Linked DNA regions of Callithrix jacchus. The protein of the gene in region 1 binds, or shares a complex with, the protein of each later gene. Links are inferred from orthologs where the notes say so. Each region holds a gene or a part of one and is shown in the gene's direction. Other genes may lie near its edges. The genes, in order: RANGAP1, XPO1 and SENP2.

What was found.
Region 2: the proteins of RANGAP1 (region 1) and XPO1 are in contact, whole or in part, in a cryo-EM structure (PDB 9B62), measured with the Homo sapiens proteins. The link is inferred for Callithrix jacchus from reciprocal best matches to the Homo sapiens genes RANGAP1 and XPO1. Residues at the interface, in NP_001265580.1 of Homo sapiens: Ala2, Asp5, Ile6, Leu9, Ala10, Thr12, Leu13, Ala14, Thr16, Gln17, Val18, Ala19, Gln22, Leu23, Ser24, Phe25, Lys28, Glu44, Arg55, Ala561, Thr564, Lys565, Pro566, Ser568, Glu571, Ser572, Ser574, Phe575, Arg577, His578; in NP_003391.1 of Homo sapiens: Lys245, Ser248, Thr249, Tyr252, Lys253, Glu281, Gln282, Val284, Thr285, Leu289, Met292, Gln293, Gln296, Arg340, Asn342, Leu343, Lys514, Val518, Ile521, Lys522, Leu525, Glu529, Arg532, Lys534, Lys537, Ala538, Ala541, Met545, Phe554, His558.
Region 3: the proteins of RANGAP1 (region 1) and SENP2 are in contact, whole or in part, in a crystal structure (PDB 2IO3), measured with the Homo sapiens proteins. The link is inferred for Callithrix jacchus from reciprocal best matches to the Homo sapiens genes RANGAP1 and SENP2. Residues at the interface, in NP_001265580.1 of Homo sapiens: Glu467, Asn508, Thr511, Thr514, Arg515, Val518, His519, Leu523, Lys524, Ser525, Glu526, Asp527, Val529; in NP_067640.2 of Homo sapiens: Tyr408, His409, Trp410, Val477, His478, Asp495, Met497, Gly498, Gln499, Lys500, Pro536, His537, Gln541, Gln542, Asn544, Gly545.

Annotation. Positions count from the first base shown.
Region 1 is NC_133502.1:192,068,666-192,079,398, reverse strand, and holds part of RANGAP1 (ran GTPase-activating protein 1), read left to right. Parts: intron 1-1,752; coding exon 1,753-1,812; intron 1,813-4,021; exon of another isoform or gene 4,022-5,267; intron 5,268-6,292; coding exon 6,293-6,472; intron 6,473-8,924; coding exon 8,925-9,059; intron 9,060-10,733. UniProt on the Homo sapiens protein: GTPase activator for RAN. Converts cytoplasmic GTP-bound RAN to GDP-bound RAN, which is essential for RAN-mediated nuclear import and export. Mediates dissociation of cargo from nuclear export complexes containing XPO1, RAN and RANBP2 after nuclear export.
Region 2 is NC_133515.1:52,619,526-52,630,258, forward strand, and holds part of XPO1 (exportin-1), read left to right. Parts: intron 1-2,707; coding exon 2,708-2,769; intron 2,770-2,991; coding exon 2,992-3,036; intron 3,037-5,209; coding exon 5,210-5,391; intron 5,392-6,032; coding exon 6,033-6,081; intron 6,082-6,156; coding exon 6,157-6,276; intron 6,277-7,675; exon of another isoform or gene 7,676-7,780; intron 7,781-8,446; coding exon 8,447-8,575; intron 8,576-10,154; coding exon 10,155-10,313; intron 10,314-10,733. UniProt on the Homo sapiens protein: Mediates the nuclear export of cellular proteins (cargos) bearing a leucine-rich nuclear export signal (NES) and of RNAs.
Region 3 is NC_133516.1:14,563,326-14,574,058, forward strand, and holds part of SENP2 (sentrin-specific protease 2), read left to right. Parts: intron 1-362; coding exon 363-457; intron 458-1,596; coding exon 1,597-1,648; intron 1,649-2,319; coding exon 2,320-2,383; intron 2,384-3,794; coding exon 3,795-4,016; intron 4,017-6,419; coding exon 6,420-6,551; intron 6,552-9,239; coding exon 9,240-9,443; intron 9,444-10,733. UniProt on the Homo sapiens protein: Protease that catalyzes two essential functions in the SUMO pathway.

The DNA of each region.
Region 1 (10,733 bases):
GGATTACAGGCACCCATCACCACACCCAGCTAATTTTTGTTACTTTTAATATGGATGGGATTTCACGTTGGCCAGGTTGGTCTCAAACTCTTGACCTCTGGTGATGTACCCGGCTTGGCCTCCCAAAATGCTAGGGTTACGTGTGTGAGCCACTGTGCCTGGCCGAACACCAGGTCTTATTTCTTCTAACTTTATCCTTGTCTCCATTAATTAACCTTTTTTTAGCCTCCCTTCCCTCTGACCTTCCAGGCCTCTGGTAACTACAAATCTACTATCTTCATGAATTGCTTAATTCTTTCTTTTTTTTTTTTTTTTTTTTGAGATGGAGTTTTTTTGTTGTTGTTGCCCAGGCTGGAGTGCAATGGTGTGATCACTGCAACCTCCACCTCCCAAGTTCAAGCGATTCTCCTGTCTCAGCCTCCTGAGTAGCTGGGATTACTGGCATGTGCCATCACACCTGGCCAATTTTTTATATTTTTAGTAGAGACGGGGTTTCTCCATGTTGGTCAGGCTGGTCTTGAACTCCCGACCTCAGGTGATCTGCCTGCCTTGGCCTCCCAGAGTGCTGGAATTACAGGTATGAGCTACTGCCCCTGGCCTAATTGCCTAATACTTTCTTTAAATCATACTGGGAGTGGTGTCACATGCCTGTAATTGCAGGTACTCTGGAGGCTAAGGTGGGTGGATCGGTTGAGGCCAGGAGTTCAAGGTTACAGTGAGCTATGATTGTGCCACTGGAGTCCAGCCTAGGCGACAGAGTGAGAAAACATCTCTTAAAAAAAAAAACAAACAAACAGAAAACACAGCTAACTTTCATGTACTTTCAAAGTACTTCTATGAATGGAAAGCTGGCATTCCTTAAAATAAAAGAAAGAAGATAGTGTTACTGAATTATTATTTGACGCTGTTGGCTGTTTAACATCTCTGAGCCTGAGGCCTGCTCTCCCTTTGTTAAAAAGTAAAGGAGTAGAGAGGTGGGCAAGACCCAGCAGCCTCATGCCAAGGCCAACTTCAGAGATGTCTGAAGGGTTGAAAAGACACTTGAAAAAAAGTTACTTCCTCAACACTGAATTCTATTTGTTTTTTTTTTTTTTTTTTTGAGACAGAGTCTTACTCTCACCCAGGCTGGAGTGTAGTGGTACAACCTTGGCTCATTGCAACCTCTGCCTCCCCAGGTTCAAGCGCTTCTCCTGCCTCAGCCTCCCCAGTAACTGGAATTACAGATGTATGCCACCACATTTGGCCAATTTTTGTATTTTTAGTAGAGCTGGGGTTTTGCCATGTTGGCCAGGCTGATCTGGAACTCCTGACCTCAAGTGATCTGCCCGCCTCGGCCTCCCAAAGTGCTGGGATTACAGGCGTGAGCCACCAGCCCTCAACATTGAATTCTGTGTTGTTTACGTTCATGTTTCTCTGTCATCCATAACCATGTCACACATCCACCTACAGGGCTGTACAAGTCAGGGATTTTCCTGACACTTCTGTTTTTGTTTTTCCTTTTTTATTTTTACTCAGAAAATGGTTCGGTTCCAGTGCAATTTCTGACACTTCTGAGCCTCATATAAACCTTGGAGGCCTCTTGGCTTGAAGACAGGTACCACCAGCTTCAGCCAGAATAGGTCCCACTTTTCACAAATGAAGCTCAAATTAAGTCTTGTGATGCTCGGGTGGTTCAGATCCATCAGGATGAGGCTTCACTGTAGGCCTCCAGGGGTCTCTCTCCCGCTAACTCTTCTCTTCTTTCTGCCACAGCGCTGCCACTGGAGTGACATGTTCACAGGGAGGCTTCGGTCTGAGATCCCGCCAGCCCTGGTAAGCGAACAGGCTGTGCTTCCCTTCCAGGCACAGGGCCCTCTTTGGCAATTCCCAGGGCTTTTCTCACACCTTATTCTTTCTGGAATCTAAGATAGGAGCCTTTGGGTGATTGGGTGATTGAGCTGCTGAAATGGAAGCCCAGCCAGCCCAGCATGCAGCCTGTATCCTGACAGGAGGGGCAGGTGGGAACACAGGAGCTGGCAGGGGAGGAAGCCCAAGGGCGGGGACTCCAGGGAGGCAGGAGAGCTGAGACCACACACTCCTGGGTCCTCCTGAGCTGTGAGGTTTGGCTCACTGTGGATTTCACCCCAACACGGTTGCCTCAGCTTTCCTGGTACCTCTCCCTGCACCTCACAGTCCTGCTCCTTCATGACTTCTCTGCACATAGCCCACAAGCCTGTCCCAGTCTTTCTCTGGCTTCTCCCTTTCTCCATGCCACTCTCAGCTTTGGTTTGCGCCCATCATGGCTGGCTTCCCATTTCTTCACTCCCGGGCTCAGACCGGCTTGCATCAAGTTCCCAGTCTTCCCGGAGCTGTGTGTGTGTGTGTGTGTGTGTGTGTGTGTGTGTGTGTGTGTGTGTAAGGAAATAGAAAGGGGCCTCACAGAACACAGGAAGGCTTCCCTGGCCAAGGGAAGAAGGCAGGTCTGGCTGTCAGCAGCCTCTCAGTGTGTCCTCCTAGCAGGAGGCTGCACATGGCAGGCCATGGGGGTGCAGGTTTCTGGTCAGTGATGAGTATGCACGCTGATGTTACTAAGCCCCTCAGCCTGGTCGCTCCTGGCCTCCTTTTATTTTATTTATTTATTTTTGAGGCAGAGTCTCACTCTGTGGCCGAGGCTGGAGTGCAGTCTCAGCTCACTACAACCTCAACCTTCCAGGTTCAAGTGATTCTCCTGCCTCAGCCTCCTGAGTAGTTGGGATTATAGGCATTCACTACCACACCTGGCTAATTTTGTATTTTTAGTAGAGATGGGGTTTTGCCAATGTTGGCTAGGCTGGTCTCGAACTCCTGACTTCAAGTGATCCACCTGACTCAGCCTCCCAAAGTGCTGGGATTACAGGCGTGAGCCACTGCACCTGGCCCTTTTGTTTTATTTTTAAAGACAGGGTCTCACTATGCTGGCCAGGATGGTCTTGAGCTCCTGGGCTCAAATGGTCCTCCCAAGCAGCTGGGATTATAGGTGTGCCACTGCGCCTGGTTTGTGAGGCCAGGATTTGGAATGTAGGTTAAGAAAATTCATTTCTGGGTGGGCGAGGTGGCTCACACCTTTAATCCCAGAACTTTAGGAGGCTGAGGCAGGTGGATCACCCGAGGTCAGGAGTTTGCGACCAGCCTGGCCAACATGGTAAAATCCCATCTCTACTAAAAATACAAAAATTAGCTGGGCATGGTGGTGGGCACCTATAGTCCCAGCTACTTGGGAGGCTGAGGCAGGAGAATTGCTTAAACACAGGAGGTGGAGGTTGCAGTGAGCCAGGACCATCCACTGCACTCCAACCTGGGTGCCAGAGTGAGACTCTGTCTCAAGGAAAAAGCAAATTCATTTTAGTGATTGTATGTTAAAGAATTTTAAGTCAGGCCAGGCATGTTGGCCATGCACGCCTGTAATCCTAGCACTTTGGGAGGCCGAGGCAGGCAGATCACCTGAGGTCAGGACTCCAAGACCAGCCTGGCCAACATGGTGAAACTCGGTCTCTACAAAAGTACAAAAATTAGCCGGACATGATGGTGGATGCCTGTAATCCCATCTACTCGGGAGGCTGAGGCAGAAGAATCACTCGAACCTGAGAGGCAGAGGTTGCAGTCAGCTGAGATCATGCCACTGCACTCCAGCCTAGGTGAGAGAAAGACTCTGTCTCAAAAAAAAAAAGGAATTTCAAGTCAGAAAAGATGGTGAAGAAACTATTTTGCATACTCACTGTGGAATTCTCGTTGTGCAGGTTTTGCCTAAATTTTAGCATTTAATTTTCCTGAGCTTTCAGAAGGTGTCTGTTTGGTTTTTGTTTTCTTTTACTTGACCCTACAGGAATGAGGAAGGAAAGTATTCTTACCTCTATGTTCCCAGTGATAAAAACAAATCTTAAGAGGGGGATAAAAGAATTTGGGGTCCGAAGATGGCATGAAGTGGAGTAGGCACAGGGTATTTGAGCAGCTTGCCTCTTCAGGGCTGGAGGTCAGTTGGGGCCAGATGGCCAGGGGCTAGGCCTTCTGTGGGCCAGGCAACCAGCGGACACGCTGCCTTTTGCTTGCTGAGTGGTGGGAGGACAGTAGAAACTGCCTCAGCTGCCATGCCTGTGGCCAGGGCAAGGGCAGAGAGCCTCCTTTCCTCATTCCTGCCTCCATGGACCACCTGCCCAGCCCCCTTTCTGCCCCAAGTCTCTGGCAGGGCCTCCTCTCCTCTGACCATTTCTCCTGGGGGGTGAGGGAGTGTAGCTCTCCCCAGCCCACGAGGTTTCCAGGAGAGCTCCGAATCCGCCTGCCAAAGCTGGTCCCTGGCCATGGCTTGGAGATGGCCACCTCCATCTGCCAGTCACCATCAGAAACCCTGGAGGCTCTTTCCTTGCCTAACGCAGCCATGGCTCATGGTCCCAAGAAGCATCTGAAGCGGGTGGCAGCTCCAAAGCACTGGATGCTGGATAAATTGACCGGTGTGTTTGCTCCTCGTCCATCCACCAGTCCTCACAAGTTGTGAGAGTGTCTCCCCCTCATCATTTTCCTAAGGAACAGACTTAAGTATGCCCTGACAGGAGATGAAGTAAAGAAGATTTGCATGCAGCAGTTCATTAAAATTGATGGCAAAGTCCGAACTGATATAACCTACCCTGCTGATTTCATGGATGTCATCAGCATTGACAAGACAGGAGAGAATTTCCATCTGATCTATGACACCAAGGGTCGCTTTGCTGTACATCGTATTACACCTGAGGAGGCCAAGTACAAATTGTGCTAAGTACGAAAAATCTTTGTGGGCACAAAAGGAATCCCTCATCTGGTGACTCATGATGTTCGCACCATCCGCTATCCTGATCCCCGCATCAAGGTGAATGATACCATTCAGATTGATTTGGAGACTGGCAAGATTACTGATTTCATCGAGTTTGACACTGGTAACCTGTGTATGGTGACTGGGGGTGCTAACCTGGGAAGAATTGGTGTGATTACGAACAGAGAGAGGCACTCTGGATCTTTCGATGTGGTTCATGTGAAAGATGCCAATGGCAACAGCTTTGCCACTGGACTTTCCAATATTTTTGTTATTGGCAAGGGCAACAAACCATGGATTTCTCTTCCCCGAGGAAAGGGTATCCGCCTCACCATTGCTGAAGAGAGAGACAAAAGACTGGCAGCCAAACAGAGCAGTGGGTGTAATGGTCCCTGGGTGATATGTTAGATGTTTATGCATAATTAAAAATCATATGGCATGATTAATAGCAAAAGAAAAAAAAAAGAAATCCTGGAGGCATTTGTGGTTCCTCCCTCCCTCTTCCTGCAATCTAGAGAACCACCAGCTTCTGCATGTCCCCTGCTCCATGAACAGGCAGCTCCTCTCCTCTCCTGCACTTGTCACACTGGCCAGCAGGTCCCCTCTCTGTTGCCAGTGTCACTGCCTCACACTCCTGGGTGGGCACTCCAGCCCCCCACCTGTCCATGTGCTCTCCTCAGGTCCGGGGATGTTTCTTCCACATCCCTCAGCCACTTCAAAACCTAGTGCTCTCAGGCTGAGGTTCATAGTCCTTGGCCTGGCATTCAAGACTATTGCCTGATCTGACCCTTCACTTCCCTTCCATCCAAAGCCCACGCCATGGCCTCTTCTAGAGCCCTTCCACAGCTGCCCCCAGGTTCACAGCCTGCTGCTTCATTCTTATGTCTCTGCTCCTGTTTTTTCAGCTGCCTGGAATCTTTTCATGTTTACTAGCTGATTCTCTCCAGACTAAGCTCAAATGCCGCTTCTTAGAAGTTTTCCCAGGCCACCCCATGCATACACACGCCCCACTCTCCATCTGTTAGGAGGCCTTTGCAGGGTTTCTAGTCTTGAGAATACCGAAATGATTCGTGTCTATGCCAGTTCTCTATTAGCCGGGGTGTCCTCGGAAGGCAGAGCTGGGCCTGGCATGGAAGCAGCACATGCTGGGTATCTATGAAACTGACACGTGGCCGGGCACGGTGGCTCAAGCCTGTAATCCCAGCACTTTGGGAGGCCGAGGCGGGTGGATCACAAGGTCAAGAGATTGAGACCATCCTGGTCAACAAGGTGAAACCCCGTCTCTACTAAAAATACAAAAATTAGCTGGGCATGGTGGTGCGTGCCTGTAGTCCCAGCTACTCAGGAGGCTGAGGCAGGAGAATTGCTTGAACCCAAAAGGCGGAGGTTGTGGTGAGCCAAGATCGTGCCATTGTACTCCAGTCTGGGTAACAACAGCGAAACTCTGTCTTAAAAAAAAAAAGAGAAACTGACACGAGCTTCCTCTGTGCCCAGATCTCACTAGGGGAAGGACTCATCACAGCTGGGGCCCAGCTGGTGGAACTGGACTTAAGTGACAACGCATTCGGGCCCGACGGTGTGCAAGGCTTCGAAGCCCTGCTCAAGAGCTCAGCCTGTTTCACCCTGCGTGAACTCAAGCTCAACAACTGTGGCATGGGCATTGGTGGCGGCAAGGTGGGTATGGCGGCCCCCTCCCAGTAGAGTCCCCTGCTCCATCCACATCCATCTGACCTATGTGCCCTGGCCCTTGGCCACCACCATCTGGGATGGTCAGCTGTTGTTTTCAAAAGAGAAAGGCCTCAAGCCGCAGCCTACAGCCAGAGGGTAGAGGCCTCCGTGAGAGTGGGTTGCCAAGCAACCATCCCAACTTCTTGGGTTGGCTTGGCAATGCAGAGGGAGTGCTGCCGTATACCTGCTGGCTCTGCAAAACTCATGTCTTGGAGCATCCCTACACTCACTGTACCCTCAGAGCAGCTGGCAGAGCCTGGCACACAGGTTGAGGAAGAAGCCTGAAAAGAGTGTCCGCTCATGAAGGAACAGTCACAGCTCACCTTTATTCTTGGACAGGGCCTTGCCTGGGGACTGTCCCTAGGCAAGGTCAGTGTAGAGCTTCAAGTTGGGCTGGTCAGTGTAGGGTGGAGCTTCTTTCTTCCCAGAACCTGCATAGAGAGTGGTCTGCCCTGTTCTCTTCAGCTGCATCCTGGTGTCTTTAGACCCAGGGTTGGAGAACACTGAGTGCCAGGCTGCAACCCCTACACACACTTTCTGACCAAAGGGAGGATAGGGCTGGGGACACGGAACTAACAGCAGTTGGGGACATCTTATTTGAATATGAAGTACCTTAACTTTCCCATCCCCACTGAAAGTGGGGTGGTGCCATCCCCATTTTTCCACATGACTCAGCATAGGCTTAGAGAGGTGGGGTGGGGTGGATCACATAGCTGGTGCTGTGAGGCGCATGGAGCCCCAGGCTGGGGAGCTGGAGTGGCCTACCCTGCAGAGGGTGCCTGTGGCCCTCTTCCTGATGTGTAGGTAAGTAGGGGCAGGCTCTGTGCCTGCCTTAGCCAGCCCTCCCCAAAGTCCACTTGGGCAATAAGCTGTCCCTGTGTTAAGATATAAAAATGGGCCAAGGCAGTGGCTCACGCCTGTAATCCCAGCACTTTGGGAGGCCAAGGCAGGTGGATCACCTGAGGTCAGGAGTTTAAGACCAGCCTGGCCAACATGGTAAAATCCCATCTCTACTAAAAATAAAAAATTAGCTGGGCATGGTGGTGGGCACCTATAGTCCCAGTTACTCAGGAGGCTTAGGCAGGAGAATTGCTTGAACCTGCAAGGCAGAGGTTGTGGTGAGCCAAGATGGCACCACTGCACTCCAGCCTGGGCAACAAGAGCTAAACTCCGTCTCAAAAAGAAAAAAAAAATCTAAAAATGTTTGCATCAGCACAGAAAGCAGGTGCAGCCCAACCTGGAATGAGTAGGATATGCTGGGAGAGCTGGAGACTCCAGCCAAGTGCTTTGGTTTTCCTTCCATTACTTCCCCTCTCCCACCCAGCAGTGCCTGGAAACTGAGGCTCAGGGGACTTTCCTACTGGCCAGGGCTTGTCTAGCCTGTCCTATACTTGCAGTGGGATGAGTTGGGGAATGAGTTTTGAACCCCAGGGCCAGAGGGCCTCACAGTCAGGCAGACTCTAACCCTAGAGTTTGACAGATGGTTTTCTGAGCCTCCCTGACCACTGATTTGATTAGGTTCTGTGTCCTGGCCTTGCTGATCTGCGCCTCTTGGGAGCTCAGACACGATGCTCTGAGTGTCTAACCAAGGCCTGTAGGTCCTTTGGTCCTTTGGAATCTTTTTCTCTTGGGTAGTATATGTTTAGTGCGGTCTCTGCACCATGCACCATGAGAATAGGAGGGCCCAGAGGAGTTGACAGGGCAAGAGGTGTGGCCCTGTGCTTGGGAACTATCCAGACCCAAGTTGGACTCCTGCAGGAGCTAAGGCCCTCCCCATGTGGCCTCCAAGGAATCGGGGAGAATGGGGGTGACCTAGCAGTCAGCTGCTGCCGCCGAGTAGCTTCCTGAGAGGCTGGTCTATGGCAGAAGTTTGATATCTCTACCTTGAGTGTGTGCATGATCCAGCATAGCCACCGTGAAGTCAGGCAGATGCTGGCCCTTCTGTTTCTCAGGGACAGCTGTGTGCAGTCTCATGCCAGGAGTTAGGCCAACATACCCACCATGTGCAGCTTTGCTGAGTATTTGCCAGGTGACTGGCCGATTCACTCACCTCTCAGAGCCTCAGCTTCCTCATCTGTAAAGTATGACCAGTCCCACCTGTCTCCCAGGCTGGTGTTGAGGTTGAAGTGAGAAAGTATGCAAATACCTTACTGAGGGTGCCCAGGCCCTAGCAGGTGCTCTGCAAACATCAGGTGTTCTGCAAACATCACTTCTCTCCTGGTACACTCGCTCGTGATTCTTTTATGTCTCATTGACCATGGGCTCTGATTCCCATTAGTCAGTCTCTGTTTTTCAGTGCTTTGCCTGAATGTGTGGGATGTGGAAGAGCAGTTCAGCAGCAGTGGCTGCCCTGCTAGGGCTCCTGCCCATGGCCTGGGCCCCTTGCCTTTTCCCACAGATCCTGGCTGCAGCTCTGACCGAGTGTCACCAGAAATCCAGTGCCCAAGGCAAGCCTCTGGCCCTGAAGGTTTTTGTAGCTGGCAGAAACCGTCTGGAGAACGATGGCGCCACTGCTTTGGCAGAAGCTTTTAGGGTGAGTGGTTTCTGTCCATCCTGCCCCCGCAGCCCTGAGGTGCACTCGGCACAGTAAGCTGTTAGTCCTGGATGTGGATCCCATGGCAGGCACTCAGCCGAGAGACCTGAGGCGTCATATGCCCTCTTCAAGCCTGTTAGCCCATTCGAAAATGGGCCAGGATTCCTGTCATGCATTTCTGGAAAGATGTGTGGTTGCTCCCAAAGGTGAGCCAGCAGCAGCCCCTTGTGAGGCTTCAGGCCACTCTGACCAGGGAGTGTCATCTGCCAGGCCCAGAATTGGTGGAGCAAGATGCCAGGCGCGGTGGCTGACGCCTGCAATCCCAATACCTCAGGAGGCCAAGGCGGGTGGATCACAAGGTCAAGAGATCAAGACCATCCTGGCCAACATGGTGAAACCCCTACTAAAAATACAAAAATTAGCCAGGCATGATGGTGGGCGCCTGTAGTCCTAGCTACTCGGAAGGCAGAGGCAGGAAAATTGCTTGAACCCAGGAGGTGGAGGTTGCAGTGAGCCAAGATTGCGCCACTGCATTCCAGCCTGGGTGACAGAGCAAGACTCTGTCTCAAAACAAAAATACAAAAATTAGCTGGGCATGGTGGCACGTAATCTCTGCTACTCAGGTGGCTGAGGCAGGAGAATGGCTCGAATCGGAGTCAGAGGTTGTGGTGAGCCGAGATCTCGCCACTGCATTCCAGCCTGGCGACAGAGTAAAACTGTCTCGGGGAAAAAAAAAAAGTGGTGGAGCAAGGTGACATGAGTGATGAGTGCTCCCAGCCCCTGGTGTGGGGCACAGAGAAAGAACTTACTAGACTTCCTAAGACAGGGAGACAGGCAGGGGCAGCCACAGGGCTTAGGTGCCAGATGAAGTGCTCTTGGGTTACCTTGTCCCTGCTCCTCTTCCATTCTCCTCGTCTCCCCCCTCCTCCTCTCCCCAGCTCCCTAGGACATTGTTGAGTCTCCAACCATGAGTGCCAGAAGAAGGTCACACTTGCCCATGACAGAACTGAAAACTTTGGGGTCTGTCTCCCTCTTCTCTTTTTTGTTTTTCTGGGACAGAGTCTCACTGTGTCACCCCTGCTGGAGTGTAGTGGCACAATCTTGGCTCACTGCAACATCTGCCTCCCAGGTTCAAGCAATTCTCCTGCTTCAGCCTCCCAAGTAGCTGTAATTATAGAATTACAGGCGCCCATCACCACACCTGGCTAATTTTTGGTTGTGTTTTTTTTTTTTTTTAGATGGAGTGTGGCTCTGTCGCCAGGCTAGTCTGCAGTGGCATGATTTCAGCTCACTGCAACCTCTGCTTCCCGAGTTCAAGAGATTCTCCTGCCTCAGCCTCCCAAGTTGCTGGGACTATAGGCGTGTGCTACCATGCCTGGCTAGGTTTTTGTATTTTGGTATAGTTGGGGTTTCACTGTGTTGGCCAGGATAGTCTTGATCTCCTGACCTCATTATCCACCTGCCTCAGCCTCCCGAAGTGCTGGGATTACAGGCATGAGACATTGCATCTGGCCTAATTTTTGTATTTTTGTTAGAGACAGGGTTTTACCACATTGGACAGGTGGTCTCGAACTCCTGACTTCAAGTGGTCTTCTGCTTGGGCTTCCCAAAGTGCTGGGATTATAGGTGTGAGCCACTGTGCCCAGCCACTCTTCTCTGAATTTAAATGTTTTT
Region 2 (10,733 bases), on another chromosome or scaffold:
AAGCATTTTGCTACCTTAAAGTTGGCTATGTTTACTGCTAATTCTGATAGCTAAATTTTTTATTTTCCTTCTCAACGAAAATTTCAGTCAGTTCTTTCTATATATGCTGGATGAGACTTGGAACATACAGCTCTACAGCGCTTACCTGCTTTTCCGAAATTCTGAAAGCTATGAAGATGAAAAGTCATAATGTAACTGATTTGGTGGCAAAGCCTAAATTAAACAAATGTGAGAGTATTAATTAGTTGTTAATTTTACATAGTAGGAAAGAGTAATTTGTTCAGTTAGAGTTGCTACTTCATAGTGTTTTAATATAGGTACACCACACTTTTTTATGTCTTTTTTTTTTTTTTTTTTTTTTTGACGGAGTTTTGCTCTTGTTACCCAGGCTGGAGTGCAATAGCGCAATCTCGGCTCACCGCAACCTTTGCCTCCTGGGTTCAGGCAATTCTCCTCCCTTAGCCTCCTGTGTAGCTGGGACTACAGGCACACACCACCATGGCCAGCTAATTTTTTGTATTTTTAGTAGAGAAGGGATTTCACCATGTTGACCAGGATGGTCTCGATCTCTTGACCTTGTGATCCACCTTCCTCGGCCTCCCAAAGTGCTGGGATTACAGGCGTGAGCCAGCGCGCCTGGCCCTTGTTTTTGTTTTTTCCCTTAAAGATAGAGTCTCGCTCTGTTGTCCAGGCTGGAGTGCAGTGGCACAATCTGGGCTCACCGCAAACTCCACCTCCCAGTTTCAAGCAATTCTCCTGCCTTAAATTTTCATTACTATAGTCCCGAGTAGCTGGGACTACAGGTGCCTGCCACCATGCCCGGCTAATTTTTGTGTTTTTAATAGAGATGGGGTTTCACCATGTTGTTCAGGATGGTCTTGATCTCCTGACCTCATGATTCGCCAGCCTCAGCCTCCCTAAGTTCTGGGGTTATAGGCATGAGCCACTATGCCCAGCCTGCACCAACACTTCTTTTAAAAATGTTCTGAGAATTAAAAATTTTGCAACATCGTTGAATCCTGTGATCTTGGAGAATGAAACCTATAGTAGATGCTCAGCAAATTCTGCATGAAGCAAATTAAAATCCAGGATATGAGTATCATGTCTTAATTATTTAAAGAGTAGGTTTTACACTGAAGAGATCCTTAAGTAAAGAAATGTTTCTCTAAACCTCCTCCCTTTTTTATTTAATGTGTGTGTGGAGAAGTTAATGTATTTTTCATTAGCTTAATGTTGCAATTAATGTATAGTGGAAAACAATAACATGTATATTAATTCATTTTTGAAACATGGTCTCACTATGTTGCCCAGGCTGGAGTGTAGTGGCACAATCTCAGTTCACTGAAGCCTTCATCTCTAGGCCTCAAGCAATCTGCCCACCTCATCCTCCAAAAGTGCTGGGATTACAGCAGTAAGCCACTGTGCCCAAGCCATCAGTAAATTTTTATGCGTTAAAAAAGTTTGGGCCAGGTGTGGTGGCATATGCCTGTAATCTCAGCATTTTGGGAGGCCAAGGCAGGTGCATTACTTGAGGTCAGGAGTTTCAGACCAGCCTGGCCAATATGGTGAAAACTGGTTTCTACAAAAATTAGCCAAGGCGTGGTGGTACGCGCCTGAAATCCCAGCTGCTTGGGATGCTGAGGCAGGAGAACCCGGGAGGTGGAGGTTGCAGTGAGCCGAGATTGCAACTCTGCACTACAGCCAGGGCAACAGATTAAGACTGTCTCTAAAAGAAGAAAGAAAGGGCTGGGTGCAGTGGGTAATGAATCGAGCACTTTAGGAGGCTGAGGCAGGTAGATCATTTGAGGTCAGAAGTTTGAGACCAGCCTAGACAAAATAGTTAGACCTTGTCTCTACTAAAAATACAAAAGTTAGCCAGGTGTGTTGGTCCTTGCCTGTAATCCTAGGTAGTTGGGAGGCTTAGGCAGGAGAATCACTTATCTGGGAGGAAGAGTTCGCAGTGAGCCAAGATGATACCACTGCACTCCAGTGTGGGTGACATAGCAGGACTCTGGCTCAAAAAAGAAAAGAAACAGGTGAAACCCAGATTATGATGAGAGAAACTGGAATCGCAGTTTGTTACAGGCTGGATGTGTTGGCATATTCCTGTAATTCCGGCACTTTGGGAGACCTGTGCAGGAGGATCACTTGAGCCTACTAATTTAACACCAACCCAGGCAACAATGCCAGATCCCATCTTTAAAAGTATGAATAGGACATTAAACTCAGTGGATTTTTATTTTTATTTATTTATTTTTTTTTTTTGAGACAGTCTCCTTCTATCACCCAGGCTGGAGTGCAGTGGCCCGATCTCTGCTCACTGCAACCTCTGCCTCTTGGGTTCAAGCAATTCTCCTGTCTCAGCCTCCTGATAGCTGGGATTATAGGCACCTACCACCACATCCAGTTGATTTTTGTATTTTTAATATAGACAGGTTTTCATCATCTTGGTCAGGATGGTCTCAAACTCCTGATCTGAGGGGATTCACCCCTCTCAGCCTCCTAAAGGGTTGCTGGGATTACAAGTGTGAGCCACCATGCCAGAATTTTTTTTTAATGCCAATATTGGTGATGGGGTGAGAGTATACTATCTGATTTTACTTAATCCTCCCACTCCCACATTAATTACAAATACAGTTCTCAAAATCTATTTGCATGCTGCAAAAGAGATAACAGTTTGTTTTATATGTGCAATTTTTTTTAATAGGAATAAAAAAATACGTTGTTGGCCTCATTATCAAGACATCATCTGACCCAACTTGTGTAGAGGTAAGTTTATTTTGGAGATTATTAGGAGAGCATAAAATCATTTAGATATTGAGTCATCTTTGACTACGTACAACCTGATTTGTCAAGACACATAGTCCCACATAAGCGCAATCAGTCGTTTGCAGTAGAGCTGTAATTGTTTGTTTCTTAGGAGGATTGTCTATGCTTATATTCTTATTATACTTACCTCAGGCTCTCATTTAATCTTTTATCTTTCCTTAGAAAGAAAAGGTGTATATCGGAAAATTAAATATGATTCTTGTTCAGGTAAGCTTTGCCTTCTAAGAAAAAATATGCTTATTTGAATAAAATGTTTGACCTACTTAGGAAATAAAGTATATTAATATTTTACAGAAGCAATGATAGTGTTCAACAATAATAGGTATCCTACTGTCTAGTAAATTAATTTACTAGTGAAATACTAGTAAATTTACTAGTAATTTACTGGTAAATTAAATTACTAGTGAATGTTAATTTGCTGTGGTAGGAAACATCAAATATTGTTAAACATATCATCTATATGGCTGCAATATGCTTTGGAGTGTATGTTGGATTTTTTTTTTTTTTTTTTTTTTTTTTTTGACAGAGTCTCACTCTGTTGCCCAGGCTGGAGTGCGGTGGCACCATTTCAGCTCACTGCAATCTCCGCCTCCTGGGTTCATGCAATTCTCCTGCCTCTGCCTCCTGAGTAGCTGGAATTACAGGTGTCTGCTACCACATCTGGCTAATTTTTTGTAGTTTTAGTAGATACAGGGTTTTTACCATGTTGGCCAGGCTGGTCTCAAACTGTTGACCTCAGGTAACCACCCAGCTTGGCCTCCCAAAGTTCTGGGATTACTGGCATGAGCCACTGCTCCCAGCCAGATTGTTTTTTAATTTTCTAATATGCCTATGCATGTTCCCTTTGCATGTTATCTCTCTCAATCCTTTGATTTTTTTTTCGACCTTCTAATTGATTTCCATGCTTAGTCGTTACACTATGTTGACCAAATTGATAATTTTTATATGTATCTGTTTCCTGTACTGTCATAAATTTTTTTCCAGAGAACCCTTGTATATGAGGGGGAAAAAACACATTTTCTGTTGAAATAAGGTTTAGAAACATCCAAGTCTCCAAAAACTTTGGTGTATTCAGTGATAAACTCCAGCTTTTATTATACTTTAGACTTTTCTTTTTTTGGGAGACGGAGTTTCGCTCTTGTTACCCAGGCTGGAGTACAATGGCGCGATCTCGGCTCACCGCAACCTTTGTCTCCTGGATTCAGGCAATTCTCCTGCCTCAGCCTCCTGAGTAGCTGGGATTACAGGCACACGCCACCATGCCCAGCTAATTTTTTGTATTTTTAGTAGAGACGGGGTTTCACCATGTTGACCAGGATGGTCTCGATCTCTTGACTTCATGATCCACCTGCCTCGGCCTCCCAAAGTGCTGGGATTACAGGCGTGAGCCACTGTGCCCAGCCACCCAGTCAATTTTTATCATCTATAGTTAGTTAAATTCTGGAGTCTCCTAGGATGGTTTCTTTTTTTGAAACAGAGTCTCGCTCTGTCTCCCAAGGTGGAATGCAGTGGCGAGGTCTCGTCTCACTGCAACCTCTGCCTTCCAGGTTCAAGCAATTCTCCTGCCTCAGCTTCCAGAGTAGCTGGGGCTACAGGCCTGCGCCACAATGCCCAGCTAAGTTTTGTATTTGTTGTAGAGACAGGGTTTCACCACGTTGGCCAAGCTGTTCTTGAACTCCTGGCGACAAGTGATCCGCCTGCTGTGGCCTCCCAGGAAGTGCTGGGGTTACACGTGTGAGCGACCCCATCCGGCCTCCTAGGATAATTTCTACATATCTATCAGGCAGATACTAATACACAGACCCATTAGACCAATCAGACCTTTCATTAGGATAATTGAGAACGGTTTTGGGGCGATTACGATAAAATACTTTATTGGTGTTTTATTTTCTACCCAGTATGGTGAAGAGGGTGACACATTTGTTTTAATAAAGGAGGAGATAGGCCGGGCGCGGTGGCTCAAGCCTGTAATCCCAGCACTTTGGGAGGCCAAGTCGGGTGGATCACAAGTTCAACAGATCGAGACCATCCTGGTCAACATGGTGAGACACCCGTCTCTACTAAAAATACAAAAAAATTAGCTGGGCATGGTGGCGTGTGCCTGTAATCCCAGCTACTCAGGAGGCTGAGGCAGGAGAATTGCCTGAACCCAGGAGGCGGAGGTTGCAGTGAGCCGAGATCGCGCCATTGCACTCCAGCCTGGGTAACGAGCAAAATTCCGTCTCAAAAAAAATAATAATAATAAAATAAAATAAAGGAGGAGAAAATGAAAAGTGGTTGGTCCTTACTGCTGCTTTTATCCATTAAACAATTTCTTTGAAGGTTGTTTTATTTGCATTTGATAAAGGAAGTGCGATTAACATTTCATGTCTTATTTTAGATACTGAAACAAGAGTGGCCAAAACATTGGCCAACTTTTATTAGCGATATCGTTGGAGCAAGTAGGACCAGCGAAAGTCTCTGTCAAAATAATATGGTGATTCTTAAACTCTTGAGCGAAGAAGTATTTGATTTTTCTAGTGGACAGATAACCCAAGTCAAATCTAAGCATTTAAAAGACAGGCAAGTAATAATTATGTTTTAGAATTTTAAAGTAATTTCTCAAACAATTTCAAGCAATTTGAATGTATATTGTAGGTATTTTAAGGAACCATGATCAGTAATACGTTCAATTGTTTATACTGGTTTTCAACTACAAATTAAGAAATAGTCCTAGATTGGGTCTATAACTACCTCTGGAGGTTGAAAAGTGGATTGTTCTGAGATACACTTCAGGATTTGATTTGTATGATAACTAATTAATAGGTTCTAAGCAAATGATTCGTGTCCAAACATTCAAGTTAGTTATTTTATGAGACAAGTCTCACTCTGTTACCTGGGCTGGAGTTCAGTGGCTCAATGTTTAAATAGAAGATAATTTTGCTGAGAGAGAGCAGATAAATATAGTCACATCTTTAATTACCAGATGGTTGAAATTTTCATCTTTTTTTTTTTTTTCCTTTGAGAGATGGGGTCTTGCTAGGTTGCCCAGGCTGGTCTTGATCTCCTGGGCTCAAGCAATTCTCCTGCCATGGTCTTCTAAAATTCTGGGATTACAGGCATGAGCTACTGTACTGGGTCTTAATCATTTTTATTAGTATTGTACATAACTGTTAATTTATTTCTGTGTCTTCTAAAACTGATATGTATATATATTTTTTTAGCATGTGCAATGAATTCTCACAGATATTTCAACTGTGTCAGTTTGTAATGGTAAGTGTTTTTAATTTCATTTTTAAAAATAACAATAATATGTTAGCAATTATTTACAAGTATGTTTTATTGTAGGAAAATTCTCAAAATGCTCCACTTGTACATGCAACCTTGGAAACGTTGCTCAGATTCCTGAACTGGATTCCACTGGGATATATTTTTGAGACCAAATTAATCAGCACATTAATTTATAAGGTACAGTGAATACAGTTAATTTGTCACTGGATAGCCACATATATTCTTTTCACATATAAAGCTCTCATATCTGCATTCAAAACCATTATTCAACCTTGGTTCTAACATGAGGAAACTGCTCAGAAGAAATGTTTCATATTTACACCTAGTAAATTCTTTGAAGTGAGTCTCAAATCTGATTCTGCCACTTGTACCATGTAATTTTATGAATTCATTTATAACAAATAATGGATTTGATTATATTGCCATATTTTTTTTTTTTTTGAGACGGAATCTCATTGTATCACCTAGGCTGGAGTACAGTGGCGCAATCTTGGCTCACTGAAACCTCTACTCACTAGTTTCCAGCAATTCTCCTGCCTCAGCCTCCCAAGTAGCTGGGATTAGAGGTGACCGCCTGTAATTCTTTGTATTTTTAGTAGAGATGGGGTTTCATCATGTAGGCAAGGCTGGTCTCAAACTCCAGACCACAGGTGATCTGCCTGCCTCAACCTCCCAAAGTGCTGGCATTACAGGCGTGAACCACTGCGTCCAGCCCTGTGTTGCCATCTATTAGTTGAATGTATAAGTTACAGTGAGGTAAGTCAAGTACTATTTGTGAAAAATGAAAAGTTAATCTTTTAACTGAGATTTAAAAATTGATACCATCTTATGTGTTCTTTAAGTTATACAATGGTTTAGCCTGCGAAACATGATGAAACCCCATATCTACAAAAAATATAAAACTTGCCGGACACAGTGGCTCATGCCTATAATTTGAGCACTTTGGGAGGCCTAGGCAGGTAGATCACAAAGTCGGAGATCGAAATCATCCTAGCTAACATGGTGAAACCTCGTTTCTACTAAAATATAAAAAATTAGCCCAGTGTGGTGGCATGCACCTATAGTCCCAGCTACTTGAGAGACTGAAGCAGAAGAATTGTTCAAACCTGGGAGGTCGAGGTTGCAGTGAGCCAGACTCACATCACTGTACTCTAGCCTGGGCAACAGAGCAAGACTCCATCTCACCAAAAAAAGGAAAAAAAAAAAACCACTTAGGTGTGGTGGTGCATGCCTGTAAGTCCCAGCTTCTTGGGAGGCTGTGGCAGGAAAATCTCAAACCCAGGAGGCAGACTGCAGTGAGACAAGATTTTGTCACTGCGCTCCAGCCTGGGTAACAGCAACACCCTGTCTCAGAAAAAAAAAATTCTACAGTGGTTCATCCGGAGATAATCACTGTTAGCAATTAGTTGTATTACATGTTCAGATGTTTTCTAAGACTGATGTAATGAATAAATTAATTGGTACATTGTAACTTAACCCCTTCAACTTTGTAGTTTAGAGTTTGGTAACATGATTTATGGTATTTGAATGATCAGTTTATTGCTCAATTAAGTTATGTAAAAATATTGGTATTGTTGTGCTCGCTTCGGCAGCACACAAACTAAAATTGGAACGATACAGAGAAGATTAGCATGGCCCCTGGGCAAGGATGGCACACATTCGTGAAGTGTTCCATATTTTTTTTATTTAAAAAAATAAATAAAAATACTGGTATTGTCACCAGTCTTACAGAGTACGTTCTTAGACATAAAAGATTATGCAGTTGTCCAAATAGTCACTTTCTTTAAATATTTTAATGTTTCAAGGTGAGATTTAGGTAAGAAAAAAATATTTTAATGTATAATTACCAGGTTATTAGCTATGTTTATTTTTAAGGTTTTAATGCCCACTAAATTCCCAAACCCGGATAATTGTTTATCTTCTCAACAATAGAATATAAAAGCCAGTTTTCCCACTTTCTTATTACTCTTAGATATAATAACCATTTTCCAAAATCCTAAGCAATCACAAGTTTTAGGTTCTGTGTAATTACACAGAAAGTATGACATTCCCAAAAGTCATGTCACAGATTCTAGGAAAGTTGTTAAGGAGTCTTGTTATTTTAGATGTCTAAGAACACATCAAAAGAAAGCAGAATTTGCTCTTAAAGCATTTAATGTGTATTGGGTAGGTAATCAAATTTCCTCTCAGTATATCTGTCAGATACAATATGTGCATTTACTTGGCCTGTTTCTGACATCTACTTCTGTGTTTAATTGTTAAGTAGTTTTTCCTTTTAATTGTGAATTTTAAGTACAGTGTTTGTCAGGCCAATTAATTTTATGGTTCCCTCCCCTCTTTTGAATAGTTCTTGAATGTTCCAATGTTTCGAAATGTCTCTCTAAAGTGCCTCACTGAGATTGCTGGTGTGAGTGTAAGCCAATATGAAGAACAATTTGTAACGCTATTTACTCTGACAATGATGCAACTAAAGCAGGTAATGTAATATTGTCTTGAAAATTGAACAATTTTAGTGCCTTAGAAAATACTGAATTTCAAATGAGCTATTTTAGAACAGCGTGTCATAGCCATAGTTATTTTATATTTATTACATAAAATTTATAGTGAGCTACAAATTTTTATATCTCCAAAAATTTCTTAAAATTCAAGATTGGGGTATGTTGTGGTAATTTTATTTCTGCACAGTTTAGGAGTTTGGTCCTTTGGGAGAGATCTGATCAGACAGTGGGAACTGATCAGAACTGGCATCTGTTCCTAACATTGTGTCTGGAAGAATTCTTTCCAGCCATAGTTTGATTGCTTATTTATCTATTAAATGATCTAGAAGGTTATTCGTAATACCGTGTTCATGGCCAGCATTGACACCTATAATCCCAGAACTTTGGGAGCCCAGGATAGGAGGACCAGTTGATACCAGGAGTTCAAGACCAGCCTGGACACCATAACCAGATCGTCTCTATAAAAGATTTAAAGTAGCCAGCTGTGGTGTTGCACATCTGTAGTTCCAGCTACTCTGGAGGCTGAGGCAATAGGATCTCTTGAGCCCATGAGTTCAAAGTTCAAATGAGCTATGGTCACACTACTGCACTTTAGCCTGGATGACAGGGCAAGTTCCCGTCTCTTGAAAAAAAAAAAAAAGGAAAGCCTGGGCACAGTGGCTTACGCCTGTAATCCCAGCACTTTGGGAGGCCAAGGCAGGCGGATCACAAGGTCAGCAGTTCGAGACCAGCCTAACCAATATGGTGAAACCCTGTCTCTACTAAAAATACAAAAATTGTCTGGGTGTGGTGGCACACACTGTAGTCCCTGCTACTCAGGAGGCTGAGGTGGGAGAATCGCTTGAACCTGGGAGGTGGAGGTTGCGGTGAGCTGAGATCATGCCACTGCACTCCAGCCTGGCAGCAAGATCAAAACTCTGTCTCAAAAAAAAAAAGGAGAAGTAGATTATTGTGTATGTTTGTGATCTGAATGAATGAATTGACTGTTTTTACGTTTTCATTGTCACCGAGAAAGGGATCAGTCCAATACTAGAAAAAACTTAAAGGCTTTGAATGATCGCAGCCCTACTCATTCCAATGTATTTATTTGAGAAGAGTCAAAATCTAGGTTTTAGGAATGGAAGAATAGGTATACCGGCTCTAGGAGTTGTGTTTGTGGTTTAATATTAGCAAAAGACTGTTGGGATCTTAGGGCTTAAAAATAATAGTGTTGGCTGGGTGCAGTAGATCACACCTGAAATCCCAGCACATTGGGAGGCTAAGGTGAGAGGGTTACTTGAGTCGGGAGTTCGAGACCAGTCTGAACAACATAACAAGATACTGTCTCTACAAATATTTTAAAAATTAGCTGGGTATGGTGGCACATGCCTGTGGTCCCAGCTATTTGGGAGGGGCTGAGTTGAGAGGACTGATTGAGAGGCTGCAGTGAGCTGTGATCATACCACTGCACTCCAGGTTGGATGACAGAGTGAGACCCTGTCTCAAAAATAATAATAAAATAAAAGTCTTTTGTCGTTCTATAAAATGCAAACTAATTGTCCCTTTTAAAATTTGCAGATGCTTCCTTTAAATACCAATATTCGACTTGCATACTCAAATGGAAAAGATGATGAACAGAACTTTATTCAAAATCTCAGTTTGTTTCTTTGCACCTTTCTTAAAGAACATGATCAACTTATAGAAAAAAGATTAAATCTCAGGGAAACTCTAATGGAGGTAAGCTTTGTGGAGCCTTTGCTCCTAAAATTCTGCTCTACCTACTGATACTCTCAAAAGTGTGTCTTTTGGATGTGCGTGGTAGCTCACGCCTGTAATCTCAGCATTTTTGGCGGCCCAGGTGGGTGGATCACAAGGTCAGCAGTTAAAGACCAGACTGGCCAACATGGTGAAACTTACTATCTACTAAAAAATAGAAAAATTAGCTGGGCATGGTCGCTTGTGCCTGTAATCCCAGCTACTTGGGAGGCTGAGGTAGGAGAATTGATTGACCCCAGAAGGCGGAGTTGCATTGAGCCAAGATCCTGCTACTACACTTCGGCCTGGGTGACAGAGCAAGACTCTGAAGAGGAAAAATATATATATATATATATATATATATATATATATATATATATGCATACACATGCATTATATGTA
Region 3 (10,733 bases), on another chromosome or scaffold:
GAGCGAGACTCCGTCTCAAAAAAAATACCAAAACAAAGTTCCTGCTTGTAATGTATTGTTTCAGGTCCATTTAATCTGAGTTTTATCACACTGAGATTTTTCAGTTAAGGTGTCACTGAGGATTTAGAACCTCTGATTTTACAAATAGAGAAACTTGAAGATAGGTAACTTGGCTTAAATATTAGAATCAGGATTAGACTCCTTTTATTCTAGTCCCAGATATTTGCTTCCTTTCTGTCATAATTTGATATAATAGGGTAATCAATAACCCCTATTTGGAGAAGTCTGCTGGACAGAGATAATGCATATTATGGTAGACTTTGCTTTTGTATCTGATATGCCTCACTTTTTGTGTTTCTAAGTTCTCAAAGAAGTCAGATGGACACATTAAAGACCAAAGGCTGGGGGGAAGAGCAAAATCACGGAGTCAAAACAACACAATTTGTTCCAAAACAATGTGAGTTCCCAGATTTAGCCTTGTCTTAATATATTGACCTTAGTTCATGTTAGAGTGTTCATGTGAGGTAGAAAATGGTGTACCAAAATGCTGTCAAATCTCGCAGCATTTATGGTGGCTCATGCCTGTAATCCCAGCACTTTGGGAGGCCAAGACAGGTGGATCACCTGAGGTCAGGAGTTCGAGACCAGCCTGGCCAACATGGTGAAACCCCATCTCTACTAAAAATACAAAAATCAGCCAGGCCTGGTGGTGGGTGCCTGTAATCCCAGCTACCTAGGAGGCTGAGCAGGAGAATCGCCTGAACCTGGAAGGTGGAGATTGCAGTGAGCCGAGATCACTCCACTACACTCCAGCCTAGGTGACAGAGTGAAACTGTCTCAAAGAAAAAAAAAAAAAATCTCACAGCATTGACTGGGGGCTTATCTAGGAGTTTAGTAAAAAAATGGTTTCAAGGTGAAGTAGATTCATAAAATGGCTCTGAATTATTATTCCTAAGCTCCTATATAGTAGCAAATATTTTGTGAGCTGAAATTGAATTATATTCTTTATATATCAATTTCCTTATATTTCTCCACTGACAGTCCACTAAATGACAGCTTACCAAATGAGCAGATGTCACTCAGTTTATAGTAAAGATTATATTTAAAGAGCAAAGAGCTTGGCGCGGTGGCTCAAGCCTGTAATCCCAGCACTTTGGGAGGCTGAGGTGGGTGGATCACGAGGTCAAGAGATCGAGACCATCCTGGTCAACATGGTGAAACCCCATCTCTATTAAAAATACAAAAATTAGCTGGGCATGGTGGTGCGCGCCTGTAATCCAAGCTACTCGGGAGGCTGAGGCAGAATTGCTTGAACCCAGAAGGCAGAGGTTGTGGTGAGCCGAGATTGTGCCATTGCACTCCAGCCTGGGTAACAACAGCGAAACTCCATCTCCAAAAAAAAAAAAAAGAGCAAAGAGATATAGGCATTTTTTTAGGCAACTTAGTTTATAGGGAGTCTAGTATCTTTGGAATTCACTGTAGCATTTCATTGTTGAAGAATTGCCTTGATATTGTGGAAACTCAGTAAGCTGAAATTCTAACTATATTATTCACTAATGAAGGAAATATTTAATCTTTTCTTTACCATCCTCACAGATAGACTTGTTGAAACAAGGGGACCTCTGTGTTCATTGAGAAGTGAAAAGAGGTACATTCAGTTCATTCTACACTTTAATATATATTTTCTTTATCAGCTGTATTTGTGAGTAAGTGGTTCTTTGGAATTGTGAACTCTTTTCATTTCTGGTAGTTGGTCAGCATATATGAGTAGATAGGTAGCTAGCTCTTGGGTCAGATGTCCACGCTACCTTGGTGGGTTGGGGGGTGCCCTTTATCTCCCAGGCATCAGGGTTGGGAGAATCGCATGATTCTTAGATAGGAGTGTGGGTCTAGTGGAGATATCTAGAGGTCTGTGTCTTTAGGATAAGAACAATAAAGGCAGTTCAGCATACCTTAGGATTTTTGGATGATGGTTTATGGCAGAGTTTGTAAATTATGGCCTATAGGCCAAATCTGGTCTGCTTGCCTATTTTTGTATAGTACGTTTCTGTTGAAGTGTGCACATTCATTTACATACTGTCTATGGCTGCTTTTAAATTACAGTGGTAGAGTTGCCACGATATGCCCAAGACCATAAAACCTGCAAAGCCTAAAATACTGTCTGTGCTTTTTCAGAAAAGTTTGTTGGCTCTTGATTTAGAATATTATATAAAAAGGCAATTTTTATTTGCAGATTATGAAATCTTATTTCTAAAACTAGGATGTGCTAGGTTTGAGTCATCTAGCAGAAATCTATCATCTCTCAATTATTTTCCTTAGGTGTACAAAGGGGAAAATTTCTGATACAGAAAAGATGGTTGGACTCAGATTTGAAAATGAAAGTGTAAGTAAAAATCCTAGTTAAATCTAATATCCATAGGCCAGGTGCATGGCTCACTCCTGTAATCCCAACACTTTGGGAGTCCAAAGCGGGACATTATCTGAGGTCGGGAGTTTGAGACCAGCCTGACCAACATGTAGAAACCCTGTCTCTACTAAAAATAAAAAAATTATCCAGGCATGCCTGTGGCACATGCCTGTAATTCCAGCTACTCGGGAGGCTGAGGCAGGAGAATCGCTTGAACCCAGGAGGTGGAGGTTGCAGTGAGCCGAGAATCTGCCATTGCACTCCAGCCTGGGCAACAAGAGTGAAACTCCGTCTCAAGAAAAAAAAAAATTTTGATACCCATTTACTTACATAACTTATGTTTTGGTACCAATGAAAAAGAAGAAAAATTATATATATATTACTTAGATTGTTACTTCTGTTGTTTTCTTTAAGAAAGCAGCAAGCCAGCCAGGCACAGTGGCTCATGCCTGTAATCCCAGAACTTTGGGAGGCCAAGGCAGGAGGATCTTGAGCCCAGGAGTTTGAGACCAGCCTGGGCAACATAGTGAGACTGTCTCCACAAAAAATTTAAAAATTAGCCAGGCATGGTGACACATCTGTAGTCTCAGCTACCTGGGAAGCTAAGACAGGAGGATTGCTTGAGCCCAGGAGGTCAAGGCTGCAGTGAGCTGTGATCACACCACTGCACTCCAGCTTGAGTGACAGAACGAGACTCTGTCTCTTTAAAAAAAAAAAGGCAAGTATTGAAAATATACAACCTTTTTCTTCTTTCTGAGTTGTTGGAGTTTTGCCTCTGTACAGTAGCCACCTTTGTTTATGAAAGATGAACCTATCTCCATACCAACACTTTACCTACATTTTATGGCTTTTTATGGAGAATTTCTTAAAAATCATACATCTCTGATAATGCTTTAGGGTGCTGGCAGAATTCTATTTGTTTATATAACCACAATGGTGGTTATATAGGTGTTCATTTTACAAAAATGAATTAAGTGGTACATTAATGTTTTGTGCATTTTCTATAATATAAAATGACTTTTTACAAGGATAAGCTAGAACCAAGTTTAGTTAGCATAAAGATAGGTATTTGTTCTGAGTGGTGGGATTGTGGGTCATATTTTTTGCTATTTAAAACTTTCATAATAATCTTTTAAACATACTATTTTTAATTGTGATAGGAGAACTGAAAATACTTTTTTTGCTCCTTCCAGGGAATGTGGCGAGTGTTCTGTTTCATGGTTTGTAACTGAGGTATCCTGTGAATCTTAGGTCTGGAGTTTTTTTGTTTCCCCTTGCAGGGACAGGCAGATATGATAAATCTACTCATTTGGGGGATTTGCTAATTCTCTTTTCTTTCATATTACTGACAGTTTTATATTTCATGTGTTATCTATGTTTATATTAGCAAGTATCAAACATGTCAGTAGAATGTAGATGCTTTTTTGATCAGAGGAGGGGATACCAGCTGGAGCCTGACCTATCAGAAGAAGTGTCAGCCCGACTCCGCCTGGGCAGTGGAAGCAATGGCTTACTCAGGAGGAAAGTGTCAATAATTGAGACAAAGGAAAAGAATTGCTCAGGCAAAGAGAGGGACAGAAGAACAGATGATCTCCTTGAACTTACAGAGGTATTGTTCTTTGTATTGATCCTAAAAAGAGGCATGTCTTTAAATAACCTCAGTACTTCTAAACTTGAATGTTTTGTTTTGAGGACTTTCTCCAGGCTAAGGATGAATATATGAAAACAAATCAGGCCCATGATCTATTTATGCACTTTGGCTACACTGATCATTAGTGAGGCATGATCGTTAGTGACCTAAGGGATCAAACTGATATTCAGCAAATGTGAGTCGACACAGTCATCACATATCTTGGAATTCAACAAATTCTTTGTAGATTCTAACCTTCAAATATGTTGAGTGAGTTATATAGCATAGGTTTGGAATTAGGAATAAGTCCACTGCATTTTTTAAAAAGTGATTATAGTTTACTAAGATGTCCCTTTTGTTGATTATTGCATCTGAAAATTGTAAAAATTTACAGAACATAAAGAATGAAGGTAGTTAAAATTCTTATTTTAAAGATGCACCCACATCTTGGCTTCCTCTACAGTAGGAATCTAGTAGGTGAATCTCTCTTGAATACTTACTATTATATTGGGCATGCAGGTGGAGAGAGAGATCCATAAAACAGTGAAACTGTGCAGTGGGAGGAAGCAGTGGTAAAAATATTTAGAGGAAAATAATTTTTTTTTTTTTTTTTTTTTTTTGAGACAGAGTTTCGCTGTTGTTGCCCATGCTGGAGTGCAATGGCACGATCCTGGCTCACTGCAACCTCTGCCTCCTGGGTTCAAGCAAGTCTCCTGCCTCAGCCTCTGAGTATCTGGGACTACAAGCGCCCACCACCATGCCCAGCTAATTTTTTATTTTTAGTAGAGATGGGGTTTCACTATGTTGGTCAGGCAGGTCTCAAACTCCTGACCTCAGGTGATCCACCTGCCTCGGCCTCCCAAAGTGCCAGGATTACAGGCATGAGGCACCATGCCTGGCCTAGAGGGAAATAATTTGTAGTGGATTTATAGATCTAGTTTTGTGTCTTAAATAATGCATTTATCTGCATAATTCTTTTTTTTTGAGACAGAGTTTCACCCTGTCGTTGCTGAGGCTGGAGCGCAATGGCACAATCTCGGCTCACTGCAACCTTTGCCTCCTGGGTTCCAGCAATTCTCCTGCCTTAGCCTCCCGAGTAGCTGGGACTACAGGCACATGCCATCATACCTGGCTAATTTTTGTATTTTTCAGTAGAGACAGGTTTCATCATATTGGCCAAGCTGGTCTCAAACTCTTGACCTCGTGATCTGCCTGCCTCAGCCTCCCAAATTGCTGGGATTACAGGTGTAAGCCACCGTGCCTGGCCCACATTATTCCTTAGTATGATGAATCCATTTATTCCATAAAGAGTCAATTGCTAGACTGCTGCCTGGTTTCCAAGTTTCTGCCTGTTTGCTTATTCTCTTTCTGTCAAAAAGGATGGTATGACCCCTTAGATGTCCTAATCTTATTTTGATGTTTTAAACATTTAAAAGAGAGGCTGGGTGTGGTGGCTCGTGCCTGTAGTCCCAGCACTTTGGGAGGCCAATGCAGGCAGATCACTTGAGGTCAGGAGTTTGAGACTAGCCTGGCCAACATGGTGAAACCCTGACTTTACTGAAAATACAAAAAAATGGCCGGCATGGTGGCAACATGTCTAATCCCAGCTAATCAGGAGGCTGAGGCATGAAAATCGCTTGCATCTGGGAGGCAGGTTGTAGTGAGCTGAGATTTCCAGCCTGGGTGACAGAGTGAGACTCTGTATCAAAAACAAACAAAAAAAAGCTTAGAGTGGAAATCAGGGTTTTAGTATTATGAAAGGAGCAAAAGACAGTAAATCAGACACACCGGGGTCAAATCTTCATTCTACCTTTTAATAATTATATGACTTTTAATATGTAAAATAAATTCTCTGAGCTTCAATTTTCTCTTCTATAAAATGGTAGGATACCTTCCCAACAAGTAAGAATGTGCTTCAAGTATCTAACATCATGTTCGGCTTATAGTGCTTGATACCTGATAGTAGGATAATTGAGACCATACTTTAGATGTATATAATTATTATTATTGTTTCCACAAGCTACTAATTGAACCAGCATTTTTTGTAAATATTAGGAAGACTGCTTTGTAGTTATAAGTTAAAATATTTTCAGGGCTGGTGCAGTGGCTCATGCCTAGAATCCCAGCACTTTGGGAGGCCAGGGCGGGTTTTGCTTGAGCCTAGGAGTTTGTAGCCAACTTGGGCAATTAATCAGGCCCCATCTCTATTACTAAAAAATAAGGATAAATTGTTTTCATACTGTAGTTTAGTAGGTCTCTGATAGTATATTTTTCTCAAGAGTCAGGTGCTGCCGAAATGAAAAATTTTTTTTCAGCTCAGATTTTTCAATAGCTGATAATGTTTCTATATTAAAATAGTAACCTTTGGACTTTCTAATTCAGGACATGGAAAAGGAAATCAGTAATGCCTTAGGCCATGGCCCACAGGATGAAATCCTAAGTAGTGCTTTCAAATTGCGAATTACTCGAGGAGACATCCAGACATTAAAGAATTATCACTGGCTCAATGATGAAGTAAGTCGTATTCCCTCCCCCTTTTGGCCATCATGAAGTTTAACTATTTATTATCTATAATCACATTGATTCCTACCCAGTTATAGAGATTGGTAAAGCAACTTTTAGTTATAATTAAAACAAAGACATCTTTTTTTTTTGGCAATAGAGTCTTGCTCTTTTGCCCAGGCTGGAGTGCAATGGCACGATCTCGGCTCATTGCAACCTCTACCTCCTGGGTTCAAGCAATTCTGCCTCAGCCTCCTGAGTAGCTGGGATTATAGGCATGCTCCATCATGCCCGGCTAATTTTTGTATTTTTAGTAGAGACGAGGTTTCACCACGCTGGCCAGGCTGGTCTCGAACCCCTGATCTCAGGTGATCCGCCCATCTCAGCCTCCCAAAGTGTTGGGATTACAGGCGTGAGCCACTGCGCCCAGCCAAAAAAGATATCTTAAATCTTAAAAAGATAGTGAAATCTGATTTTCTGCCTGGAATTGGTGATGTTTCCCTTTTGTGCATCTGTACTTTGTTGTATCCACCTCTTCATTTACTAGTCTCCAATAAACCCTGGGCACAGCTGATGAATAGGAGGAAGCAGCAAGTGGTATTATATTTTAGATGAATTCTTATAGTAGCTGTTTTATTTTTTGAGTAATAAAGGGATATGTTGATTATTATATACTATATGTATTTTTCTTTTTTCTTTTAAGATGGAGTTTTGCTCTTGTCGACCAGGCTAGAGTTCAATGGTGCGATTTCAGCTCACGGCAACTCCAGTTCTGGGTTCAAGTGATCCCCCTACCTCAGCCTCCTAAGTAGCTGGGATCACAGGCACCCACCTCCATGCCCAGCTAAGTTTTGTATTTTTAGTAGAGATGGGGTTTCACTATGTTGGCCAGGTTGGTCTCAAACTCCTGACCTCAGGTAATCCACCCACCTTGGCCTCCCAAAGTGCTGGGATTGCAGGCATGAGCCACCACGCCCAGCATACTTTGAGTATTTTTTTTTTTTTTTTTTTTTTTTTTTTTTTTTTTGAGATGGAGTTTCGCTCTTGTTACCCAGGCTGGAGCGCAATGGCGTGATCTCAGCTCACCGCAACCTCCGCCTCCTGGGTTCAGGCAATTCTCCTGCCTCAGCCTCCTGAGTAGCTGGGATTACAGGCACGTGCCACCATGCTCAGCTAATTTTTTTGTATATTTTAGTAGAGATGGGGTTTCACCATGTTTTTTTTTTTTTTTTGAGACGGAGTTTCGCGCTTGTTACCCAGGCTGGAGTGCAATGGTGCGATCTCGGCTCACTGCAACCTCCGCCTCCTGGGTTCAGGCAATTCTCCTGCCTCAGCCTCCCGAGTAGCTGGGATTACAGGCACGCACCACCATGCCCAGCTAATTTTCTGTATATTTTTTTAGTAGAGACGGGGTTTCACTATGTTGACCAGGATGGTCTCGATCTCTTGACCTTGTGATCCACCCGCTTCAGTGTCCCAAAGTGCTGGGATTACAGGCTTGAGCCACCGTGCCCGGCCTTTTCTTTGAGTATTAACTGAAAAATTTTGCCTGACTTGTCTCTTGTATCCTTAATATATTTAGCAAAAGCTGGCTCTTAAGTTCTTCCTGACAATTTTCCGGTGGGTTTTTTCCCTAACTGCAGGCCCTGCATCTTCTCTCTTCATCTCCCTTCCTGTTTTCCTGTTTCCCCTATGACTAGTTACTTACAAACAGATTCATTGAAAACAGGAATGTTTTGTTTTACATGATAAATATAATTTGTTTATTGTAGAAAATTTGGAAAATACAGGAAAACTAAAAAAATGACTGTTCAAAAGTACCACCATTCAAAGATAAATAAAATGTTAATATTTTGGTGTATGTCCTTCCAGTTAATATTTTTAAACTGAAGTCTAATTTATATGCAGTAAAATTCACTTACTGTTCCTATTTCTGCATTTTTTTGGTGTGATACAGTTATGTAGATCTTTTCATTATTACACAGACTTTCTTCTTGAATTCCTTCTTCTGGCTATTAAGTGTTACTCACATGCCTTAAAAGTATGGTTTCAGCCAGGTGCAGTGGTTCACACCTGTAATCCCAGCACTTTGGGAGGCCAACAGGTGGATCACAAGGTCAGGAGTTTGAGACCAGCCTGGCCAATATAGTGAAACCCCATCTCTACTAAAAATACAAAAATTAGCCGGGCATGGTGGTGTGTACCTGTAGTCTCAGCTACTCAGGAGGCTGAGGCAGGAGAATCTCTTGAATCTGGGAGTCGGAGGTTGCAGTGAGCTGACAGCCTGGGCAACAGAGCGAGACTCTGTCTCAAAAAAAAGTACAGTTTCATTCTTTTTTCATGTGTCCCATTTTGCACTGATGACTTTTTTTGCTGTCATTTTCTTTAGACAGTCCTTTTATCTCCCCCCCCCCTTTTTTTTTGAGACCGTGGCACCTGCCACCATACCCTGCTAATTGTTGTATTTTTAGTAGAGATGGGGTTTCACCATGTTGGCCAGGCTGGTCTTGAACTCCTGACCTCAGGATATCTACCTGCTTCAGCCTCCCAAAGTGCTGGGATTACAGGCATGAGCCACCGCGCCCAGCCCTATCTCCTTCTTTAGAACCTTACCTTCAAATTTGTCCTTATTCAGGTAAAAATTTAGTTTTGATAATATATTTGTCATGTTCCAGCTTTCACTCCCTTGATATTTTGTAGGTCATTAATTTTTACCTGAATCTTCTGGTGGAAAGAAATAAAAAGCAAGGCTATCCAGCACTTCATGTATTCAGTACTTTCTTCTACCCTAAATTAAAGTCTGGGGGTTACCAAGCAGTGAAAAGATGGACCAAAGGGGTAAATCTCTTTGAACAAGAAATTATTCTGGTGCCTATTCATCGGAAGGTACATTGGAGCCTGGTGGTGAGTAGAGAAGGTTAATAGTTAATTGTTGGACTTTGGATAAAGACCATTTTTCAAAAAGAATGCTCCCCTTTTCTGCCCAGGGTATAAAGACCAGTAGTATATGTTATAAGCATACTCTACAGAGTCTCTTTTTAGTTTTTGTTTTTTTTTTTTTCTTAATGCCCCCTCCTTCACCCAACCCTTTTTGGCTCTTTTATTTATTCTTTAAAAAATGTTTAATACTATTTTTTAAAATGAGAGACCAGGCCTTGCTCTGTTGCCCAGGTTGAAGTGAATTGGTGTGATCATAGCTCACTGTAGCCTGGAACTCCTGGACTCAAGTGGTCCTCCTGCCTTAGCCTCCTGAGTAACTAGGACTATAGGCATGGTCCACCATGCTTGGGTAATTTTATTTATTTATTTATTTATTTGGCAAGATGGAGTCTTGTATATTGCTCTGGTTGGTATCGAACTCCTGGCCTCAAGTGGTTCTCTTGCCTCAGCTTTCCATAGTGCTGGGATTACAGGCGTGAGCCACCATGCATAGCCTTTTTATTTTTTTATTTTTAGAGACAGAGTCTCATTCTGCCATCCAAGCTGGAGTGCAGTGGCACAACCATAGCTCACTGTAACCTCAGCCTCCTGGGAACAAATGATCTTACTTTGGCCTCCAGGTACCTGGGACTACAGACATGCACAAGTATGCCTAGTTAATTTTTTAGAATTTATTTTTTATTTTTTTGTGGAGACAGAGTCTCTAGTCTTGAGCTCCTGGCTTTAAGCAGTCCCCCCACCTCAGCCTCAGAATGATGGGTGAGCTACCGTACCTGGCCTCCTTTTTAGTTCTTGAGTTAACAACTTAGAAGGCAAGAAGATCAAGTCCTTGTACTTGAGGACCTTTCGTTTTTAACAGGAGAGTCTTAGTATACGTAAGGGTTATTATATTTATTTAGTTTTGTTTATAAGATAGTACAGGTTTATTGTAAAAAAAAAAAAATTGCAGATATAAAGCCAGGTGTGGTGGCTCATGCCTACAATCCCAGACTTTGGGAGGTCGAGGCAGGAAGGGTTGCTTGAGCCTAAGAGTTTGAGACCAGGCTGGGCAACATGGCAAGATCCTGTCTATATAAAAATTAAATAAATTGCCGGGCATGGTGGTGCATACCTGTGTCCCAGCTACTTGGGAGGCTGAAGTGGAAGATCCCTTGAACCCAGGAGGTCGAGGCTGCAGTGAGCCGTGATCACACCACTGTACTCCAGCCTGGGTGACAGAGCGAGATCTTGTCTTAAAAGAAAAAGAAAAAAGAA